Linked DNA regions of Oryctolagus cuniculus. The protein of the gene in region 1 interacts with the protein of each later gene in a biochemical or structural test. Links are inferred from orthologs where the notes say so. Each region holds a gene or a part of one and is shown in the gene's direction. Other genes may lie near its edges.

The links. The genes of interacting proteins can lie anywhere in the genome.
Region 2: of the proteins of DCAF1 (region 1) and UNG, one has a biochemical effect on the other in vitro, tested with the Homo sapiens proteins (2 studies listed by BioGRID, with this or other methods). The link is inferred for Oryctolagus cuniculus from reciprocal best matches to the Homo sapiens genes DCAF1 and UNG.

What each region holds. Positions count from the first base shown.
Region 1 is NC_091441.1:98,129,298-98,134,061, forward strand, and holds part of DCAF1 (DDB1- and CUL4-associated factor 1), read left to right. Parts: intron 1-776; coding exon 777-975; intron 976-1,425; coding exon 1,426-1,508; intron 1,509-1,994; coding exon 1,995-2,079; intron 2,080-4,764. UniProt on the Homo sapiens protein: Acts both as a substrate recognition component of E3 ubiquitin-protein ligase complexes and as an atypical serine/threonine-protein kinase, playing key roles in various processes such as cell cycle, telomerase regulation and histone modification.
Region 2 is NC_091452.1:18,168,399-18,173,138, forward strand, and holds the end of UNG (uracil-DNA glycosylase), read left to right. Parts: intron 1-2,559; coding exon 2,560-2,700; 3' UTR 2,701-3,587; downstream 3,588-4,740. UniProt on the Homo sapiens protein: Uracil-DNA glycosylase that hydrolyzes the N-glycosidic bond between uracil and deoxyribose in single- and double-stranded DNA (ssDNA and dsDNA) to release a free uracil residue and form an abasic (apurinic/apyrimidinic; AP) site.

The sequences.
Region 1 (4,764 bases):
CATCTATTGGTTTAGTCCTCAAATGCCTGCAACAGCGGGGGCTGGGCCAGACCGAAGTCAGGAGCCAGGAGCTCAATCTTGATCTCACTTGTTGGGGCAGCGATCTGTAGAAAGAAGTTGAATTGGAATCAAAGTCAGGACTTCAGCCAGGCATTCTGATACGGAATGTGAGCATCCTGAACAGCATGTTACCAGCTGCATCAGATGCCTCCTTGAACATTGTGATTCCTTAAAAGTCTCATGGAAAGGGATCACAGTTTTAAACGTGGGATTTTTTTTTTTTTTTAAGATTTATTTATTTATTTGAAAGAGTTACAGAGAGGCAGAGGTAGTGAGAGTTCTTCTATCCATTGGTTCACTTCTCAAATGGCCCCAGTTGGAGCTGGGCTGATCTAGAGCCAGGAGCTTCTTCCAGGTCTCTCATGCAGGTGCAGAGGCCCAAGGAGTTGGGCCATCTTCTGCTTTCCCAGGCCGCAGCAGAGAGCTGGATTGGCAATGGAGCAGCTGGGACTTGAACCAGCATCTATATGGGATGCTGGCACTGGAGGCGGTGACTTTATCCACTGTGCTGGCCCCTAAATGTGGGAATTTTTGTTATTTAAATTTGTAAGTGGAGGTCCTTTTCTCTCATTTAAAATTGAAAATGAACCAGTGAAGGTTAGTGTGATATTTTAAAGAACTTATTTCACACCTATTCAAACCTAAGTCCTTCTAGCAAGTTTTCTTTTTGAGTCCCTGCACATTCTATGTCTCTGATTCTCTTTTGTTTTGCTTAGATTCCGTCCTATTTCAGTGTTCCGGGAAGCCAATGAAGATGAGAGTGGCTTCACCTGCTGTGCGTTCTCAGCACGGGAGAGGTTCCTGATGCTTGGCACCTGCACAGGGCAGCTGAAGCTCTATAATGTGTTTAGTGGACAGGAGGAGGCCAGTTACAACTGTCACAACTCGGCTATCACACACCTTGAACCTTCTAGGGTGAGGGTCCCTTCCTCCTGGATGCTCTCGTTTCTAAGATGGGTTGGTGAACTCCTCTTTTATTGGAGTTTCTTGTGAGGAATCCTTACCTCTAAAGTCTAGGTGAAATCGACTGGACTCCAAGGGAAACTGAGGAGTGTGCCGTATCAAGAGAACCGGTTATCTTTGATGTCTTTCCAAGTTTTCTTCCTCTTTTCTTTGGAGCCATTATATTTTTGTTACGAGCTCAGAAGGATTTAATGTGCTGTTAAATTTATTTTCTAGTACACTGCAGGTACATGTATTTAAATCTTAGTGACTTCTGATTATTTCTTGGCTCCTGAAAGTTGTTCTTTTTCTCTTTAATCCAGTAATGCTTTTATGTAAATATTTTAAAAATACTAATGGTAGATAGCAACATCTACATGTATATAAACCCACGTTTACCCTCCTTGGGCCTCCTTCTTTCAGGACGGGTCCTTGCTGCTGACATCTGCTACTTGGAGCCAGCCTTTGTCTGCACTTTGGGGAATGAAATCAGTATTTGATATGAAGTATGTATCTGCTTTTGTAGTCTGGTGTTCCTGTGTTTTGTTTATATAATTTATACTCCATCTATTTGTTGGACTAGAGGCCTTTTGGGAAGTAGGATGCTGTAAGTTATTGTTAACTTCTTCATTTTAGGCTTATGTTTTAATAAAATTTTATCTTTTAATTTCTAGATGCTCCTGGAAAGTATATGCTTGCCCATTTGGGCAGCAGATCCTTCACTTAACTCCAAATGGCCATCTTTATACTTTGCCAAGTTCACATGGGCCATTTACATTCTAATCTTTCGTATTTCAAAGGCACATGTGCCCTATGGTCATTTTTCCAACCAAGGAATCCCTGTCAGGGTATGCTTAGACACACTGCTGGAGGGAATGTTTTTAATCTCACTGTACAGGCGTTTCCTCTGTGGGAGCCAAGGCATTAAGAGGCTGCAGTGTGTGCAGGAGTCTGTCTTGAACATCTTGACCTCTCAGTGCTTTTGTCCGTAGGCATTCCTTCACAGAAGACCACTATGTTGAGTTCAGTAAGCACTCTCAGGATCGAGTCATAGGCACGAAGGGAGACATTGCCCACGTAAGTGCTGGAGAAACCTCTGCTTTCACGCTCACTTTGCTCATTTGTTAATTCAGAAATATTCTGGACTGAATGTGAGGACTTAGTGGGTATCTAGAAATTATAGTGATAGTCCTTCCAGTTAAACTCTAGAAGTGTATTAAAGTAGTTTTAAGTTATATAGGAAAAATGAAATAATTGACTCTGAACTTAATCTTGCAGCTTGAGGAAGATGCTGTTAGCACAGCAGATATCTTTGAGTTCTTACCAAGTTTTAGGTGAGATAAAATCCCTGCATTTTTGGGCTCATGTTAGATGGTTGGTTGCTGCAGAGGAAAAGAAAGAAGCAGTGTAAGAGGGAAGAAATGCTTGATAGTGTGGTCAGGGACTGTTTTGTTAGCTTCACTGATTGGATACTGTTTAAGCAGAGCCCTTGAAGGACTTGTGACTGTCGTGCAGGTGTCATTCTAAGGCAGAGGGAGTAGCCAGGAAACAGCCTTGTTTGGGAGCTGTGAGGCAGAAGAGGGTAAGAGCTAAGGTCAGTGATGGGTACATATCCCGTAGCATCGTGGAGGAGGTAGTTGGGACCTTTAGCTTTTCTTCTGAGGAAGGTGAAGACAACTGGAGGGTGGCAGAAGATATATGACTGGATATGAAAACCTAAAGCATGATTTGTTTCTGTGAGAGAAGCAAAAGTAGACCTTCCAGGCAGGAGGATATTGTATCATGAATAATGGGGCATGATCCAGACAGACATGCAGAGGCCTTGAAAAATGATGGGCCGTAGTCCTGAGGTTTTGGATATGTGAAGTTTGAGATTCTATTAGACATTAACTGGGAATTGAATGTACAGATGGGGAGTTGAGAAGTCTGGGATGGGGGTTAAAATTAGGAGAGTAGTGCTTATATCAATATTTATAGCTGTGAACCTGGATGAGATTAAGGGGGCTAGAGGAGAGGTGTAGGGACAGCACTTGCATGTGCCAGTGTTTAGAAGTTGCCAAATAAGGAGGATCTTAGGGAGGAGACCAGAGAGAGTGACCAGAAAGTCAAAAGGAAACCCCAGGAAAAAGACCTAAAAGCCGAGGGAAGACTGCGTTTGGAGGAATGATTGATCAGTTGAGTCAGAAATTGCTGATGAGTTGAATATAAGAATGAGAACTGAGTGGGAGCGTTGAACAACATAGAGGTTATTATATAGTTACAACTATATTTAGTTATACATAATAGTTCTGGGGCCTGGGCTGTGGTACGGTGGGTTCGGCTGCTTCTTGGGAGGCCAGCATCCCATATCAGAGTAGCAGTTCAACTCCTAGCTGCTCTGCTTCCCATTTAGCTTCCTACTAATATGCCTGGGAAGGCAGCAGTGATGGCCCAAATATTGGGACCCCTGTCACTCATTAGACCAGGGTGGAGTTCTGGCTTCAGCTTGGCCCAGACCTGGCTGTTGTGGCCATTGGGGCAGTAAACCAACGGATAGAAGATCATTCTCTCCCCCTTTGTCTCTCTTGCTCTGCCTTTCAAATAAGTACATAAATCTTTAAAATATAGGCTGTACACTGATCAGACAAAATCTTGGTTAGAGTGGTTTCATAGGAGGAGTGAAATAGACACACTGAGTATAGTTAGTTCCTTTAAATTATTTTGTTGGGATACAAAGCAGAGAAGTAGAGTAATAAATAGCTTGAGGGGAGAATTTAGCATGGTAAAGGGAGGATTTCCCTCAACTTTTCATTTGAAAATGTTACAACATACTAAAATCATATGGAAAGAATGGTACATGTGTTCACTACCTAGATTCATCACTTTAATATTTTTCCATACTTTCTCTATGAATGTGTTTTTCTCAATTTGAAAGTGAGTTACAAGCATCATTACAGAACATGCATCATCTTTTTTTTTAATATTTTTATTTATTTGAAAGGCAGAGTTACAGAGAGGCAAAGACAGAGAGAGAAGCTTTCCATCTGCTGGTTCATTCCCCAAATGGCTGCAACAGCTGGAGCTGGACCGATCCAAAGCCAAGAGCTAGGAGCTTCTTCCAGGTCACCCATGCGTGTGCAGGGGCCCAAGCACTTGGGCTTTCTTCCACTGCTTTCCCAGGCCATATCAGAGACCTGGATCAGAAGTGGAGCAGCCGGGATTTGAACTGGTGCCCATATGGGTTGCCAGCACTGTAGGCGGCGGTCTTACCCGCTATGCCACAGCGCCGGTCCCTGAACATGTATCTTCTAACAATAAAACTATTTAATTACATAGTCACATATCCAAATTAAGAAAATTAGAGTAGTTCTCAAATATCATCTAATATCCAGTCCATGCCCAGTTTTTCCAGGTGTTCTTGATGTGTTTGATTTCATATATGTTTTTTTTTTTTTTCCTGAACTAGGATCCAGCCAAGATTCACATATTGCATTTGGTTATTATGTTTAATGTTTTAAAAGCCAAGAACCCTTTCTCCAGTTCTCATGGCACTGACTTTTGAAGAGACCAGGCTAGTTGTCTTGTCCCATGATCTGGATGTTTGTTTCCTTGTGGTGTTTCCTTATTTGTTTCCAAATCAAAAGAGTTTTTTTTTTTTTTTTTTTTTTTTTTTTTTTTTTAAAGAGATAGGAAATATTATAGCACACTTGTAAACTGATGGGAAAGATCTGGTCTCTGCATGAGTTGTGCATTGTAGCCTTTGGAAACTTAGTAGGTGGACTA
Region 2 (4,740 bases), on another chromosome or scaffold:
CGATGAGCCATGACGGGGCCCCGGGGTTCGCTCAGGCAGCAGGGAGGGACGTGGGTGAGGAGGGTTGGAGCAAAGGCTGCGGTAAGTGGCGAGGGGTCTTAGCTGAGATAAACCGGCTTCCCGCATCAGTAGGACGGCACTGGTGTGTCGGCTGTGGGCACACGGTCCCCTCCCCATATCCCACATGGCACCAAGCTGAACACTTTCCATGCTGACCCCTCCAGAGGCTCTGAGGGTAGGACCGCAGCTGTCTGGGGCACTAACCTCGCAGGAGCTGCTAGGGCCTGGTATTAAGATGGTAAGAGTGTGCACAAGGGTGATTTCTGATCTCCCTGTCTCCGGAAGGTTCCGGCCACGTAGCTCTCACAGCGTTGGTTGTCATTCGTGGTCTACGTGATTTAGCCTAAAAGCTGGGTTCTAGTCCCGTTCGGGGCGCCAGATTCTGTCCGGTTGCTCTTCTTCCAGGCCAGCTCTCTGCTATGGCCCAGGAAAGCAGTGGAGGATGGCCCAGGTGCTTGGGCCCTGCACCCACATGAGAGACCAGGAGAAGCACCTGGCTCCTGGCTTCGGATCAGCGTGGTGCACCGGCCACAGCGGCCATTGCGGGGTGAACCAATGGAAAAAGGAAGACCTTTCTCTCTGTCTCTCTTGCTGTCCACTCTGCCTGTCCAAAAAAAAAAAAAAAAAAACTGTAGACGCAGCGTGATGATGAAAGTGGGGTGCTGGGCTGGCATTGTGGTGTAGTGAGTTGAGTGCTGCCTGCAGTGCCTGCTTCCCATATGGGCAGTGGTTCAAGTCCCGGCTGCTCTACTTCCGATCCAGCTCCCTGCTAATGCACCTGGAAAGCAGTGGAGGATGGCCCAAATGCATGGGCCCCTGCACCCACATGGGAGACCCAGAAGAAGTTCCTGGCTCCTGCTTCAGTTTGACCCAGCCTCAAGTGCTGGCCGTTTGGGGCGTGAACCAGCAGTTGGAAGATCTCTCTGTCTCTCTGTAGCTTTGCCTTTCAAATAAATCTTACAAAGAAGGCAGGGTGCTGTCTCCAGCCCTGTGCCTCTTGGTCCTAAGCAGAGATCCACACCGTGCCTGTTACTGGGTCTGAAGAGCACATCCCATCCAGCAGCTTCCAAACTGAAACCCCGTCTCCTCCTCCACCCCATGAGACGCTGCTCCTCCACACTTGCAGGCCGTGCAGCTGACACCGTGCATCCGGGCGTCCTGGACACTGCTCACTCAGCCTGTGCTCCCCACCCCACACGCCATCAGTCCTTCATCCCACATTCTTTGTCCTCTCCTGTCAAGCCCACCCTTTCCTGACTATGCCTTTGCCCTGCGTTAGGCCCTCAGGTAGTCAACTGATGCCTCCCCGAGAGGCGGCAGGGTCGGCCCCAGCCTGCCCCCACCAGAACACCTCTCTGTGCGCCCCGAGTGCCAAGCTGAGCAAGCCTCTCACTTCTCCCTGGACCCGCTTCCATCTTTGCTTGCACAGCTGGGCCCTCTGCCCAGAGCAAGGAGGTCGTTAGGGCTCCCAGGAGCACTGCCTGGCTTGCGGTCAGCAGAGCTAACGCTTACAGGGACCGGGGCTGCTCACTTGGCCCTTCCGCGGGGACTTGGTAAGCTGGAGACACATTCCGTAGCTGCATACGGCAGTGTGGTGTCGCCTGCAGCCGCTTCCCCCGCCTACACAGCGGCTGGGGTGGGACTGGGACTTGAGCCCAGGCCATCCGGCTCAGGCTCTGCTGTGTCGATCAGAATACGCTGCCTCCCAGACAGAGACCTGAATGCAGGGATGTTTTGAAAGGCGATGATGAGCAGTTCCTATTGAAATACAGAAAAAGGGAAGACAAAAATGGCCACAGCCTCCATACACAGATAGCTACAAGTGACCCCAAAAATCAAGAGTACAGGGGTGCCTCAGTGAACACGTGGGAAGACAGAATTGAAAGTTTAATAAACTCTCTTAACCCCACGAACGTTTGGAAGTCCCCTTGGGTTCCGTCTTTGTGGAGAAGTAACTCCAGTACAGAGTATAGAGTCTGTCTTCCATCGCTGCTGTTCCTGAAAGGAATTCTATGAATAGTGTCTTGGAGACTTTTCCAGGAAAATAAATGCTGGTGGATTGTTATTTTACCCCCGCTTGATAAACGGGAGGCGTCCCAAATCGGTGTGTTGGTCAGGCCACGTTCTAGTGGCTTCGTGGTATTCTGCAGCTAAGAACCTGAGGACACGGGTGTGCGTGGCTCCAGACACTGGGCTTGCATGTGGCTTGGGCTGGTAGAGGCAGTGCAGGGAGCGTCCCGCGTCCCGGCGCCTGTTAGCAAGTGCAGTCTGCGGGGGAACTGCACGATGGGAAGGGCCTGGCCCTTGAGAATGGCATAGCTCACGCCAAACGGAAGGCTGACCCCGGCCTCCGTGTGCGGAGAGCTTCACAGGTAGGTGGGTGCTTTAGGTGAACAAGCAAGAGGCCTGGAGTCCAGCCAGAGTCGGGGAACTGTGCCCCTGCCTTAGGGTGCACAGCCGTCTCTGAAGGCCCCAAACCTGCCCTCTTGTCTTTTCCAGAAGCGGCACCACGTCCTGCAGACGGCCCACCCCTCCCCCTTGTCGGTGTACAGAGGCTTCTTTGGCTGCAGGCATTTTTCTAAAACCAATGAGCTGCTGCGGAAGTCTGGCAAGAAGCCCATCGACTGGACGAAGCTGTGACCGGGACTGAAGGCGTGGGCTCCGGGCAGCTGCTGCCGACAGTGCTCGCCCGCGACCACGTGGCATTGCAAAGCTCCCCATTGCTAAGTACTGTGTGCGGGGCTGCCCTCTGACCCCTGTCTCTGCACGTGACCCCTCCAGACAAGACCAGACGAGAGCCTGAACCAAGGCAGAGGTGGCCTTGGGGGAGACGTGCAGTTCCCCCAGAGGTACTTGCTTCCTCGGCTCTCTCCCCGCCCCGGGTGGGGACGGCGGGCCACGTGCGCTTTTCTGGTGGCCCGGTGCCTGCTGCTGCTGCTGTCCACCTGGCAGGTGCAGGTGCTGCATGTTTGCTTCTAAAGGCATCCTGGTCTCCGCCAGGCACACTGTCCCCGGGTCTTTGAAGGAGCCCTCGTCCTCTCCAAGTTTGAGGATGCTTTGCAGTTTCTAGAAGTCTGGCTCAGAAATGGGCTGTTTCCTGATTGCTCAGGTGGTGTCTCTTGGTTTCTCCCGTTACCTCGACTGTCTAGAAGGGGTGGTGGGAGTTGAACCGGGAGGAGGAAGTGGGGTGAGGGGTTGTGTTGGTTTTTTACCAGAAGGGGTGAGTTTTCTCCCGTTTTCCTGCCGTGGAGTTTAAGGCAGCAGTGACTGCCACGTGCTGTTTTTTTATGGACTGAAGTCACTGGGATATTTTTTCTGTAACACTGGAGTTTGTTTTTTTTGTTTGTTTGTTTGTTTTTTTAACAAATATGCTTAAGCAGAGATATTTTTCAATCCTTTTATAAAGAGATGGTCTTTACTGAGTGTGCGCCTCCATGCCTGATCTTGTTAGCGATGCTGTTTTGAGCTGGGTGAGCGAGTTAGCCTGCACAGGTTTGCTAATAAAAGGTTATTGAACTTTTTGCTCTGTGCCTAGCGTCCTTCAGTGTCCGTGGGCCACCCTTGTGCTTGGAGGGAGCACCCGTCCCCTCCCCCCACCCTGGTCCCCTTGGCAACAGCCACGCCCTTGTTAGCCTTCCATACCTGGCCTGATAGGAGAGAGGAGGCTGGAGCTGCACCCGACCCAGTGCTGTGGGCAGCCCGAGTGGGGTCAGGCTGCTGCGCCCCAAAGAGTACAGCTCCGACCGGCAAAAACACGCCTGCAGGAACTTGCTACTGACGTTCAGACCAGCAGCTACCTTGCTAACAGGTCAGGGATGTGGGGACCTCACCTTAGATTATTCTATGTTTACTTGAGAGGCAAAATGACAGGGAAAGACAGATAACTTGCATCCACTGGTTTAGTCTCCAAATACAACAGCCAGGATCCAGGAGCTCCCCCAGGCCTCCCACGTGGGTGACAAGTACTCGGCCCCTCTTCTGTTGCTTTCTCAGGTGCACTAATAAGCACCTGGGTCAGAAGCAGAGCAGACAGAATTTGAACCGGTCCCGGGATAGCTGATGTCATGGGGGCATTGCAAGCTGCAGCTCGACTTCCTGTGCCTCAAGACCAAGGCCCTGGTTAGCTTTGGACACCACAGAGCTCTGCTGAGTAGGGAGGGAACAAGAAGCCCAAGTTGCCATAGGGAATTCAGAAAACAAATGATTCTCTAAAAATAGATGTTAAACTTTTAGAAGTAGTAACAGGCATTCGTAGTCTAACTTTTTTTTAAATTTTCATTCTATTTGAAAGAAATATCTATTCACTCACTGGCTTACTACTCCCCAAGTGCCTACAGTGGCCAGGGCTGGGCCAGGCAGAAGGCATAAGCCAAGAACTCCATCTGGGTCACCCGTGTGGGTGGCAGGGACCCAAGTACTTGAGCCATTGTCTGCTGCCTCCCGGGACGTGCATTAGCAAGAGGCTGGGAGAGAACCAGGCACTCCTGATGGGGATGTGGCCGTCCCGGTCGACGTAACCGCTGGACCAAAGGGCTGCTCTGGCAGTCTCGGACTCACGGGTCGGACACGTCAGGACTGCAGGAACCACTCAACTGTTGAGAAAGCACCCAGGGCACAATGTGAATGAATGTGGGGCTGCGTTCCAATAAAACTTTATTTGAATTGCCGTGATGTTTGTGT